Linked DNA regions of Tribolium castaneum. Each later gene encodes a partner of the first gene's protein in a complex. Links are inferred from orthologs where the notes say so. Each region holds a gene or a part of one and is shown on either strand. Other genes may lie near its edges.

Region 1 (7,447 bases):
CCCATGCATTATTTCCTCATCTGAGTGAAAAACTATTAAACAAACTTCGAATCGGACCTGTTACCGCCACCAAAAACCATAAAAAGATAAGACTGCGACTGCTTCTGTTACTCAAGACTAAAAAAACGCCAGAAATATGTTTCATGTCTGTTGAAAACAAGACAGGGGCTCGGAAACAAACAGCACGGCTTCGCCAGATTGTTTTGATTATCAATTTTCAAACATTTCCACAAACTATGGAAAAATCTACATTGATCACTTCGCTCGTCGTTTCGCAAAAAATTGAAACACGCCGAAAATATCACGTGGTGTCCATATGGGTTCAAACTTCGAGCCCTTTTCGTGGAAAAAACTGTCTGCATTTTAAATTAGAGTCAGCCACATCTGATTGCTGCACCAGATTGGAGTGATAAAGCTCCCATAAAAAGCGCTTCCGTTGTTCGAAGCCCCCGCAAATTAATAAAATTATTTTAGTCTCCAACAAATTCACGTCTGCAAGACAAAGCATGAGTGATGGTATCGATTGAATTGTTCGTCCCCTCGAGAAAACCGTACTGTCAGTACAAACATCACCCCCTACTCTGGCTTTCTAATTAACGACACGAAATATCAATGGTGTTGTGAAGGACACAAAACAAAAATATAAATATTAGCAGAGTTGCGACAATAATGACGGAATTTTTGCTTCATTTTTCAACCTCAAATTTTCAACGTTAAGTAAATTTACCGAAGCAGCGAACTGTCGCAATTTTACTCACAATTATTTATTTCACAACAAAGACAATATTTATACAACGGTGTGGCAAACAAATTTTACTGTTTTTAAATTATTTTCATCGCTTGATCGTGGGCTAAGTTTATTAATGACAATTGGTAATTGTAGTCATGGTCAACTTACTTGTACGTTTCGCTGAATCTTTTCAATGACACGCAAAAATTATTCGAAAAACCTAGCAGGTGCAAGACCGTTTCAAAGTGCATTTTACAGTGGAACTCGGTCACAACGAACCCGGCTTTTAACGAACAAAGTAAATATTAAAAAACTATACTTTGTATAGTTTGTACTTTGTAACGTAGTTACAATAAATAATCGTATTTCTAATCCTACTATTACAAATGTAGGTGTGCCACACGGGTCTATTTTAGGACCAATTCTTTTCATATTATTAATAGTTTACCTTCATCTGTAACAATTTTATAATCAGAAATTTAAAACCTGATTTTTTAGATAGACAATTTAATAATCTTTAAGGAGCAATAGCAAAAAATAGGGTGTTCCATTAACTTTTTCAAGTTATTCAATTTTTAACAAACTTATTAATTTCTCTACTTTTTTAATTGCAATGCGCAAGACAATTAGTACAAATATAAGTTTAAACTTTTCCCTTTAAAGTGGTGAAATTCCTACTCGTCTGAGATTCTTAGTTTTTATGTAATATTTTTTTCAAAAAGCGTGTTTTCGTCAAAAAATCAAACTATTTCAAAATCGACTATAACAATCTAGCTTAAAAACATCAGTTAAAAAAATATAGGTTGTTTTAATTTCACGGCGTTTCGTAATAAAAAGATTAATTTTCTAACGATGAAAGGTCAAAGGACTTTTTCACATCGGTAGGACACCCTGTACGTGCCCTATTATCAAAGTAGGTATACCTACGTAATTATGTAATATTTTTTAATAAAATAGATGATATTTTATTTCCGGTAACTTTAAAACGTTAAAACTCATTTAACGTAAAAGTTAAGACGACGTTCCACTGTATTAAATAAATATTTCCACTGCGCTTAAAGGACATCGATTTTTAATGGATTTGGCTAAATCTGCACCCGCTGATTTGGGTTTCAATTCGGTCTCCCCTTTGCAAATAATTAAAAAATAATTAAAAAAATCTCGTTACTCTAATCCTCCCTTCAATCAAGCCCACCCCACTGTATGTTAAATTTTTAGTTTGGTGGTGCAGACGCACCAAAGCGGCGCCGTTCTTTTCTGACGGACACGAGACGAAGTCGTTTGTATGATGCGATTATTACGCTATTTGCCTCAAAAGTCACGTCTGAGCTTAATTCGGACACAAATCAACCAATCAGTCTGCGCCGTCATGGCGCTACATTTGACCTAAAGGACGTTATTATTACCGGTTATAACCGTCATAAAATATACAACATTGAACCCGATTATTAAAATATCACACATGAAGCAGGCGAGATGGGACGCTCACATTTATAATACTATAAATTTTTTATGGCTTTTTCGCCGCTGTCGATTATTTTCGACTGGATGCCTGACAGTTCGGGGCTATTTAACACCTTTGTTAATTCGCTTATCTTGCTAACTGTTGTTTACAAGTTCAAGTTCAGGCTGAATTTACGACATCTTGCATAATTTTCGCTTGTGACATTAACTTTGATAATTAGTTGGATTTTCTTGTCTTTTACCGCCTCAGGTATAACTTGATAAGAATCCAGAGTGGCCTTGGGCGGAATTCGGAAATCGAAAATACGCCTGTTTTGCAAAACTATTAATAAATATTATTGATTTAATAGTAATATCCTGTTTATAGAGAATTATTGTTTACGCCAGGAATCAGGATTCTGCTAAAGTGGCTTAATTACATTGTTAATTAAAATTCGATTGTTTTATTTGGATTGATTTAATGATAAAAAATATGATATTTATTGACGCAAACCGGAGACTGAATAGTAACGGCTGCAGGTAAAAGGTTATTGTTGCAATACCGTGACCTTGGGTAACGACTTTTACAGAAATTTAAATATTACAAAAATAAGTAACTCCGTTCCACCTTTAGACGCGTTAAATATTCGGTGATAACTAGACAGGTGTACTCACTGTTAAAAACCAAAAGTTTTCTCGTGGATCCCAGCCGTTTGATTGGTGATTTCAATTCTTGCTCATTTTCATCCATCCTTACAAAATAAGTAGCCGGTATATAAGAAACAAACTGGCGAATTCTAAAACCGTCTTCACACAAAAATAACTACTTTCACGTCCAAACGCAAGTTATGTTTTGTTGCTAACTCGGAAAAACATTTAATGAGAAGTGGTCATTTGAGACAATGTTGCCATTTCAAATCGGTGTGCACTAATTCGAATACGTTAATTCGTTACTGAGTGTTGTTGCGAACGCTACCACGAACAAAACGATTTGTACACTGTCTATTTGAACATAACATGCTACTCTCTACTCAAAATAGAATGCCGCTGTCGCTTGTAAACACACCAGCGACCAGCGCCATCTTTGGACCCGCCTCTACACTGCCCACTTGTAATGCCCAAACCGCCCACAAACATGGACGCCAGCGGTTAAGCGGTTAGTACCGTTTGCAACCCACTGTGCGCAACCAAATAAAAAATTATCGGTTCGGTTGGGTTAACAGATCGTCTCTCCTGCGTATTTATCGCTATTCTGAATATAGTTTGGCGTTTTTAAGCATTAAAAGCATGTCTGATGTCTGCCGTCTGTCAAGGTCACGGGTGTTGATACAAAATGGAAGTTTATTTGTATTAGGTGTTGGTGCACCCTTTTATAGAGCTTGTGTAGTCAAATAAATCGGCAAAATGTCTCGTAATTACACACGAGACCACCTTAAGATATCTGTAGCGAAAATTTTACAAACGCTAGGATGGAACTCGATAAATTCAACACCGTTGGAGATTTTAACCGACATTTTAGGGAATTACATGGGCCAGATTACCAGGAACACAAACAGCTACGCAAACGAATGTACGCAATTTGGAACTTAGGGGCAATGCTAATGTGTGGATTTCAGTTGGGTGCACCCAACCGAACTTGGACCACTTGGGTCTGACCTTTAGGGACATGGGGATCAGCGTCCCGGAGCTGGAGGAGTACGTGAGATATGTTAATTTTGCTGCGGCGCCAAGCGCTGTCCCCAAGTACCCCATACCCAAGGAAGACCATTTGAATTTTCTAAAACCAGGCAGCAAGGAGGTGGTCACCAGACCGGTCCACATACATGAACACCTACCCCCCATGAACCCACTTTTAGAAGGTATAACGCTTTTTTAATATTTGTACCTTAAATAATACATTTGCCATCGGAAATGTCTACAATTTAAGCTATTATACCAAAAAGATCATACCAGTCTACAAGAAAATGAGTGCTATAGACCAATAGATATTCAAATCACATTCACATTTTCTTTATTTTGAATAGCGTAGTTACAATAAATAATCGTATTTCTAGTCCTACCATTACAAATAAAGGTGTGCCACAGGGGTCTATTTTAGGGCCAATTCTTTTTTTATTATTATTTAGTATTATCAGAAATTTAAAACTTGTTTTTTTAGATAGACTATTTAATAATCTTTCAGAAGCAACAGCAAAAAATAGGGCGTTCCATTAACTTTTTCAAGTTATTCAACTTTTAACAAACTTATTAATTTCTCTACTTTTCTAATTGCAGTGCGCAAAACAATTGGTACAAATAAACATATAAACTTTTTCCTTTAAAGTGGTGAAATTCCTACTTCGCGTGTTTTTGTCAAAAAAATCAAATTATTTCAGCAAAATCGACCAGTACAAGTTTAGAACAAAATCATCAGTATTAAAAGCTACGTCCAAAAATGCAATAAAATTTAGGGTGTGCCATTTGAAAAAACATAACTTTAGTGTTTTTTTAATATTGGGACACCTGCATATACACCGGAATTTTTTTTTAAATGCAGCCATTTTAAAAAACAGTTAACGTCTCTAATAGTGAACAATTAATAATTATTATTATTATTATAGGTAATAGAAATGAATTAGAAGCGATCAATTGTAAAGTTGAGGAACTGGAAGACACCAACCCTGAAAATTCCCAAGTTTTTAAAAAACCGGCCGACATATCACCTTCAGAGTTCAAACGGCCTAGGTATTATCTATTTCCAAATTCACAATAAGGCTGTCTTAGTTTCCGCAGAGAAGAAGAAGGCAGTCGGCCGACAAGAGAAATAAGCAGTGTGATGATGACAACTTCTGGGTTTCTATCCCCAGCGCGAGAAGGCAAATTACCTGAATCCAGAACCCCAATTTCGTCCATAGACCCAATGGGTCCCGTAAACCCACCCCAGGAAACCATCGATCTGAATAAAAAACCGACGAAAGTCGTCAAAAAAGTTGAGAAAAAGAAATTCAAGCAGGAAGGAAACACGGACCCGGCTCTAGCGGGCAAAAACAGAATCAACTCAATGAAGTGTATACTGAAATCGAAGCAACAACAGAAAGCGCCCAACAAGGTCCTCAACCCCCTGGCACACGACATCTCCCAGCTGCAGAACAAAGCAAACCAAGCCGCTAAGATCAGCAAAACCTTGGCTGCAGCCCGGCTTAAAACGGAGAAACTCAACACTACGATCACCCCCATTCCCATGCGGCCCAACAGCCCCCAAGTCTTCCCACCTGAGCACGACAACGTCGACAAACTCTTCACGGAGCCCGACAAGAAAAAAGTCAACATATTTAAGAAAATATCAAACGTGAAGAACGAAAAAACCGACGTTAAAATAAAAAAAGACGATATTAAACAAGAATCGAGGGAAAGCTCCCCCGACTTGATAATCGACGAACCGGACGAAGTCCTCCCCAAATTCACCCACTTATCAAGCGACGTGACCATCGAACCCATCAATTCCTCGGCCCAGAAAAGCCCAGAAAAGATGGACACGCCCTACTTTGACGATGACTCCCAACCGGGGACTCCCTCAACCCCCAAAACCCCCGAAATGATCTCACACAGCCCGCCAATAGTCAAGGAAAAACGCAAGCGGAAAGACAGCAAGAAGATAAAGAGAGTAACGGAGCTTCGCAACAATTTGTATTCCCACTAAGGTTGTTTTTCAGATTCAGAAAAACCAAAGTCCGCATCGGCTAGACAACGATACGATGGACATGGACATGGAGCGGCCCAAAACACCGGAAGCCCAAGTGTTACCCAAAATGGAGTTTCCGCCAACTGTGCCCGTTCCCATCCCCAACCACGCGCCCCTGGCCCCCATCCCCTTCCCCTTCAACTTTGGAGGTAAATTCGCGTGTTACGATTCTATGATATTTTTTTTTTCGTTTCCGAAAATAGTGAACGGTTTTTTCTTTATCCTAGTTTTGCTTTTCAATTCTAGGTCCGGGATTGATACCAACGCCTTTGGCGAACCCACTGATCCCCCCACTGCCGTTTCCGCCCATGAATTTGTACAATTTTGGGCAAAAACCACATTTGTCTTCATTCCACCAGAAAATCGAACCGCCGCCGCCGTCAGATGTTCACGTGGTGGAAGATTCCCCATCTCCCCCTGGCAAACTAGGGGAGAAACCGCTTTCTAACGACACTTCTGATCCCGGCTCACCATCGTCAAAGTTGGAAAAGAAGAACAAGGAACACAAAAAGGAAAAGAAAGACAAGATCAAGAAACGCAACAAGAAGGATAAAATCAAAAACAAGGCCGAAAAGAAGAAGTTGAAGGAGGAGAAGAAGGAGAAAATCAAAAAAGAGAAGAAGGAGAAACGCAATAAGGAGAAGGAGCTGAAAGAGGGCGACTCTCCAGGTGTGAAAATCACGCTCAAGCTGAAATCGCCGTCGCCAAGTCCGGAGCCGTCGGAGACCCGGAAATTGTAAGTTGTGGGAATGAAAATCAGTAAAGTTTCTATTTTGTGTTAGGAACATTAAGCCGATTGTGAAGAAGGAGGAAGAGGATGTGGTTACGAGTAGCGAGGATAGGGTGAAACGGGAGACGTCGCCCGGTTTGGCCAAAATCTCGGCTTTGGTGTGCGGACCACCTAAACCTAAGCCTGTAAACCCGCCAAAGACCGTGCAGCCAGGCAAGTTTGTGTTGAGATTAGCACACTCGTTGTTTTCCTTTGTTTTGTTATTATTATTTGAGTGCCAAATTCGGACTAACGGCTTAGTTTTGGTCATTTTGTTATTTGTATGCGTGTGCGTTGTGCCACCTTTGAAGTGTTTAGTTTTTTGATTTTGAAACACTAAGTTTGGCTTGCATCAGTTAAACAGTGTACCACTCAGCATGTGATTAGTTTTGTTATTGTTTTGTTTAGTTTATTTTAACTTACTGATGAGGTCTCTCCTTACTATTTTTTTGCTCTGCAGCTTTCAATGACAGTTATCCTAGTTCCTCTTCTGATAATTTCGTAAACCAAACGAAGAAAACCATGCTAAAACCCATTCCTAAAATACGAACAAAAGAAATTAGGAGAGAGATTGTTGATGTTCCAATAGTACCACCAGCTCCTCCTTCCAGATACATTGTAAGTACTATGCGGAACGAAGAAGAGCTCAGGCGTTCGAAAATCAAATCTGACCTAGGAATCATCTTCATTCTCCTCCCCGTCTCCTCTCATTGTCATTTATTTTATCATGCATTGTCTTTGCTTATTTCATTTGCTTCATAGTGTCATGCTTGTGGTGGGGGGG
Region 2 (6,434 bases), on another chromosome or scaffold:
GGTACAGTTGGAAATACGCTATCAAATTTTTTTCTAGGAGGATTTAGTTCGTTCTTACACTTTTTAAGTAATTTTAATAAACTCACATAAGTGTTGCAGCGCTATAATTTTTAATAATTTTTAAAGTTATTTATTTTTCATAAAAATCACTCCCAATTGTTAATTTTCATTTTCGTTCAGGATGTGGACTTTACCCGAGAAAATTTTCGTTTCAGTTTTATTTCATGGTATTTCTATTCGACTATAGTTTTATTTGCCTAAAAGTGTACATTTAATTGATAAAAGATCACTCAAATTCTGTTTCATTCAGTCTCTCCCATGCTTTCTTTCACTAATTTGAACCGTTTTAAAGTTGATAAAACGCATTTTGTGCGCTCAATTCTAAAATGAAAATCGTTTTATGTATCATCTTCATTTTTCGAAGAATATTCACAGTTAAATACGCTACAGCAAAGATTTGAAATCATGCTCAACCTCTGTCAAAATACTGACTAGAAATTATTCTAAAGAAAACTATTGCCGACTAACATTTTAATCCTGATCCTCCAAACACAATTTTTCTCCAGAAATATATTCCACTGGCACACACTAAACAGTAAACACTCGCGCACTACTGAACGGCGAAAATTCATAACACGCACTGATCACTGATGATAGTTCTATATTTTGAAAATCGTAACCAGCAAAACTCTAACTTTTATTTTATTTAATAAGTTTATGAGGTGTGTGTTCACGACTACAGCAAGTGACAAACTGAATGAAATCAAACGGCACATCAGTAATTGATAAGAATGCTCATAACGTCATAACTCGTCTGTAACAAAAAATAATCCATTCATGTAATTAACTGCTGCAAATAAATAACGAAGTTTTCCTAATGTATTGATTTTTGGTGCGTTCCTTTGAACTTTTTTGGATAGAGTTAATACACGTATACAGGGGGGTGAATTTTTGAGGTCTACATATATTTTGAGCTCATTATTTAAGTGTAACGTAAATGTTAACACTTTACCGAAATCTTCGCGATTATAAAAGACACGCACACATACATTCGAAATATACAAGGCCATTTTTATTGAAGAGACTATTTGCTAGTCGATTATAGAGTAGGTACTAGAAGAGGCATATTTTTTTAATAAGTAAATGAACGAAAAATTAATTTGTGTAGGTATTGCCACGAATGCATGAACAAGGCGACAGGCGAGCGCAATTGCATCGTTTGCGGCAAGAAATCGTCGACGTCTGGCACTCGGCTGATTTTATGCGAACTGTGTCCTCGCGCCTACCACACCGACTGCATTCACCCCATCATGCACAAAGTTCCTCGCGGCAAATGGTACTGTTCCAAATGCATATCGAAAAAGCCTCAGAAGAAGACGATGCGTAAAAACCACGCAAAGTCTAGCAAAGATAGCGAACTGTCCGACCATCCTCCTTCTAGGTACCTCTCAATTTTTCGTTTTTTATTTATTAACATGTCGCGTCTCCAGTCCCGCACCGTCTCATAGTTCCGTTACGACGAACGAAGAAGCAACGAATTGCAACCAAAGCGACGTCTCTAACTCGAGTCTCGGCAACGCAGGCTCTCCGTCCACGCAAACGTGCAAGAAGGACCGCATCTCGAAGAAACTACTCAAAGAACTCGCGCCGTGCAAGACGATTCTGGAGGATTTGGAGTGCCATGATGACGCGTGGCCCTTTTTGCTTCCGGTGAATACGAAGCAGTTTCCCACTTACAAAAAAATCATCAAAACGCCGATGGATTTGTCGACGATCAAGAAGAAACTGTACGATGTGAGGTTGGTGTTTTGACTTGAAAATTGATGGTGTGAGTTATTTGGGCGTTTTTCTAGTTATAAATCCAAAGAGGAGTTCGTTCTGGACGTGAGACAGATTTTCAACAACTGCGAAGTGTTCAACGAGGACGACAGTCCTGTGGGAAAGGCAGGCCACTGCATGCGCCAGTTTTTCGAAGCTCGGTGGAACGAGCTGAGTATTTCAAATAGTTGAGGACTACTTTATCCCAAAAGACCTTACCATCGAAGAATGCGGCCCCCGGAAAACAGTGTTTAAATTGCGATGAGGTGTGAATACAAACTAATTTTTTCAGAAAAACAGTACAGGTATTTCCAGTGTGTGATATTGACTTTAAAAATGTATACTTCAGCTTTTTATCGTTCGGAAATTGTAATTATTTGAATGCAATTAAAGTCTTGGATTTGCGCATCACTTAATGAATTGACTTAAACAAGAATGTGATTTTTAGTTGGTTTCTCAATTTGTATTAATTTGTATTTTTGATAATTGTGTATTTTTTTATTTAATTATTTATTTAGGATAACTATTTTGTTCATTAAATGTTCAGTGGTTTCTATTTATTTATTTTTCTAACTCAATTTCAGTTTCCCGACTTGAAGTCTGGTTCAGTTACAGTGAATAAATTAGAGTAAGAGTTTGTATAAAATGTAAAGAAATTTCTTCACATAATTGCATCGCTCAACATTAAATTAAATGTCTCTCTAGCCTATTACAAAATGTTTTTATGTAAGCTGAACATAGTTCTCAAAGGAAAGGATGTATTAATAAATAATGTGTTTGGTAGGCTAGTTCTCTGCAGCGCTAAACTGCAACTCATAGAACTAGGTTATGTATTTTAATGTAAGATATTTATATTAATTATATTTACTTATAAATGTCGCCTTTTTTCATTTCTCTCCAACCGCTACTACCCTGTTTTCCAACCACACGTTGGAAATTTTTGGAATTCCCGCGTATGGATGTTTAAATTTCGGCTCTTTGGTGATTCGGTCAGAAACACAAGCTTGTCATTTGTCAAACGTTATTATAACCTTAACTTTTCGGAACGTAAATAACAACAAACTTTGCTTTAAACTTTAAAAAATGGAACAAACCACCACCCAGCAAGTAAACGTTTACCGAAAAATGTTAGCAGCGTCAGTCTGCAGCATTCTAATGGAGTCTGGTTTCGATACGGCCGACAAAGAAAGCCTCGGTACTTTAACAGAAATGATCCAGTGCTGTAAGCCCCTCAACCCTTTTTTCGCGAAATAAGCACACTTTCTTGCAGTCCTAACCGAAGTGGGGGCACTTTCGAAAAGCTACTGCGAGTTGTCGGGCCGTTCGGAGCCCGTGGTGGCCGACGTGATTTTAGCATTTGTGGAAATGGGGCACAATTTCAACGACTTGATGGTGTACACAAAAGGCATGAAGCATTCGGTTTTACCCCCACTACAACCACAGCAGCCCCAGAAGCAGCTAAATATGTTACCAGCTGGCTCGAAGCACCCTTTACCCCCTTACATCCCTCAGCATTTACCCCAGTTTCCGGACCCCCACGCCTACGTTCGCACTCCTGTAGGTTTGTGCTGTTGGGGCGCGTCAAATATTTTATTGTTCTATTACAGACACACAAACAACCAATTATTGATTACGAATCAGTGAGAGAAAAAGCGGCAGTTCAGAAAAAAGACATAGAAAAGGCGTTAACGAAGTTTCTTGCCAAGACTAACCCCACACATAATTTGTTTGACACAGATGAGGCGAATATTTTTCCACGTAAGTGGTCCGTTTTTTATTTGGAATTTTTATTTCGTGAGTGGTGGTCAATAGTGCTCTGGAAAAAATTGGTTGCAGAGCACTCTTGACTACGTTTTTGTTTTATACCCACTATAGCAATTGAAATATTTTAGTGATAGCTTGTAAGCCTGCGTACCCCCCTTACTTGAGCGCTCTCCTGCCCCAGGATCAAATTTTTGATCCTGAAGACCTCGAATATGACCACAAAAGTCAAATGATGCAACAATCAAAAGAACAAAAAGCGAAAGAAAAAGCTGAAAATAAAGAAGAAGAAGAGACTGAAGAAACACTAAATGATTCCACAAAAAGTGAAGAAAACACAAACCCAAATGGGTACATTGATAATCCGTATTTGGCCGCAACGAAGCTGCCTAAAAAGGACGAAATGGAGGTGTCATAAGTAAGACTAAATTATAAGTTTAAATTTTTTATTTATACAACATGTAGTTATTTATAAGAATCGGAGTTATAGAAATGAATATAACAAGATTTGAATCAAACACAATTTTGTTGCTTGTTGCAAACAAGAATGGCTGGAACAAAGCCTCCTCTTCCAAACTTGTCATCCATCCGACCACACTTTCATTCCGATTTTGTACTTTGAGCCACAACATCAAGGGCTGGAAGTACTGAAGCATTGCTTCAGCAGACAGGCGATCCGACTGTCCTCTAGTTAACATTTTTATCACTTCTTTCCAATGTCTGGCCTTCCCGACTTTTAGCAAGTCCCTAAAAATATCTAATTAATTTTTATTACAAGTATTGAACAGTCATTACGATAAAACGCGTCCGGCTTCCCTCGACCGGTAAATATCGCAATTATGCAACGGCCCCACATGCCCTGAAGCAAAACACATCGAGCTGTGAATTTGGAATTCGAGCAAAAGCGCGACGTAATATTTCATGTACGGAATATCGGCGGGAATGTGGCGTTTTGCAGCGGCGTCGAAGTGGTTTTCAGTGCGAGGGATTGGGGGGATTAATCCCTGGTAGCGCAGGCGCAATTCCCACCAAACTGCGTTCATGTTTTGCACCCCGTTTTGAAAAATTTCATAACGCCACTGGAACAATTATTTTTTTAATTATTTAACTGTGAAAGGGAAAATTGGCACTTACTGCGTCCACTAAATACGCAAACGGGGCAAACGCGACTTTTTTCAAAGCCATCAGCATCAAAAAGTTGATGTTGGTTTCGTAACTGTCGGTGTTTTCGTTGAATAAGCCGACTCGGTGCAAGTGCACCGGGTTGAAGACTGATAGAGAGATTGCGTTCGAGACTCCTTCGTGGAAGCCAGGGTTGGCCCCGTCTCGGTACAGATAGGGCTGTTCGCTGTAGTGCAGGTAGTACTGAATGTGGGCCATTTCGTGGTGTGTTGAAATTAGATCGTCCATGTTTACTTCAGTACATTGTTTTATTCTGTAATCAATTTGGTTACAAAAGTCCCACGCACTTGCCGTGCATTGTACTTTGCGGTCGTTTGGTTTTTCGAACATTGAGAAACGCCAAAATTCAGGGGGCATGGGCTTGAGGCCGAGAGATGTGTAGAACTCTTCGGCCATCTGAAACATTCTGAAAACGGTTTTGTTAATTAAAACTTTCAAACACCCGCTAATACTACATTCCAATACAGGCTGTCTCAAAATTGACGCCCGTGCTTTAATATGCGATTTGGAATTTTTTCCGCATGTGCACACACCTAATTTATAACCGAGCTTTTAACATATCGAAAAATCTCGAATGTTGTAATGCAGTAGTATTGTATCCTTTTGTTTACTTGTTGGTATATTACTGCCATATATAATTGATATACAGAGTGAGATTAAAGTAACGCATAAAATTCGTAATTCTTTTATTTAAAAAAATATGAAAAATGCAAAAACAGGTAACTTAGCATTTTAATTGAGCTCAAATTTGACCTAGCTGGATCAGTCATGGCGGCCAATATGGCATATGTGTGAATCTAACATTCCACCTGTGGTCAGTGGCGTGACAATTAATTTTCTAAAGGGATGTTCAATTAGACAAATGAATCGTTTTTTTCAAAAGTGGCATAATCTACAGTTTGTTAGGTAATTGTTTATTTTGTTACCATTATCGATCTTTGTTAAAGAGCGTCTTTACAATGTTTTCCCCTAATACAGCCTATGAACCCCTGACTGCTATTTAAATATGTGCCACTGCCTTGTTAATATCGCTTACAATGGAGGTAAACACTGCCCCCCCGCGTACCCCTCGCCAATCGTTAATCGATTAACACGCTGCAGTATAAGTGATGTGATGCTGTGTCTTCTTTATCTTACCTCCATGTTTTAAACACACAAAACCGAAGAAAATTAATAATACTTGTCACTAGACAGAGCGATTCAAAGAATTTTAACATCGTTAACATAAACTAATGAATTATGTTGCACAAATAATTGGAAAGACAGCATAAACCTTATTATTATTTACATTTTTATCAATAACTCGATAACGAAGGACAATTGGAAAATTTTTTACTCTTAACTTTCATTTGTGTTAGCTCCCTGAATCAAATTCCCAAAGCACAGGCGTCAATTTTGAGACAGCCTGTATTAGTCCCTTCAACACACAACACTTTTTAAGCATTTTGACCTTGTTTTCGAAGGTGTTTAAAAAAGCAAAACTATACGGCACCACCATTTTTTTTATCAAATCTACCCCCTTTTTTGAAGTTAAAATTCGCTATTTGACGTTAAAAGATGTCCTCTTAAAATAGAAATTAACCTGTCCGAGTATTTTTTTAATATATTAGTATAAATACCAGATAACCTGTCGTTTTTGGTGGGCTATCCTGTATTATTATTATTATTTATTA

The links.
Region 2: Taf3 (region 1) and transcription initiation factor TFIID subunit 8 share a complex: the UniProt entries of both Homo sapiens proteins name them as parts of the TFIID basal transcription factor complex. The link is inferred for Tribolium castaneum from reciprocal best matches to the Homo sapiens genes TAF3 and TAF8.

Annotation. Positions count from the first base shown.
Region 1 is NC_087403.1:4,010,763-4,018,209, forward strand, and holds the start of Taf3 (transcription initiation factor TFIID subunit 3), read left to right. Parts: upstream 1-3,373; 5' UTR 3,374-3,577; coding exon 3,578-3,743; intron 3,744-3,789; coding exon 3,790-4,032; intron 4,033-4,773; coding exon 4,774-4,897; intron 4,898-4,936; coding exon 4,937-5,816; intron 5,817-5,865; coding exon 5,866-6,043; intron 6,044-6,140; coding exon 6,141-6,630; intron 6,631-6,676; coding exon 6,677-6,837; intron 6,838-7,123; coding exon 7,124-7,281; intron 7,282-7,447. Other genes in the region: SLIT-ROBO Rho GTPase-activating protein 1, read right to left, coding at 2,849-2,924. UniProt on the Homo sapiens protein: The TFIID basal transcription factor complex plays a major role in the initiation of RNA polymerase II (Pol II)-dependent transcription.
Region 2 is NC_087396.1:13,178,784-13,185,217, forward strand, and holds transcription initiation factor TFIID subunit 8, read left to right. Parts: upstream 1-2,806; 5' UTR 2,807-2,901; coding exon 2,902-3,040; intron 3,041-3,088; coding exon 3,089-3,375; intron 3,376-3,425; coding exon 3,426-3,576; intron 3,577-3,710; coding exon 3,711-3,997; 3' UTR 3,998-4,025; downstream 4,026-6,434. Other genes in the region: tou (bromodomain adjacent to zinc finger domain protein 2B), read left to right, coding at 1,169-1,441, 1,491-1,799, 1,854-2,010; angiotensin-converting enzyme, read right to left, coding at 4,026-4,326, 4,375-4,658, 4,714-5,167. UniProt on the Homo sapiens protein: The TFIID basal transcription factor complex plays a major role in the initiation of RNA polymerase II (Pol II)-dependent transcription.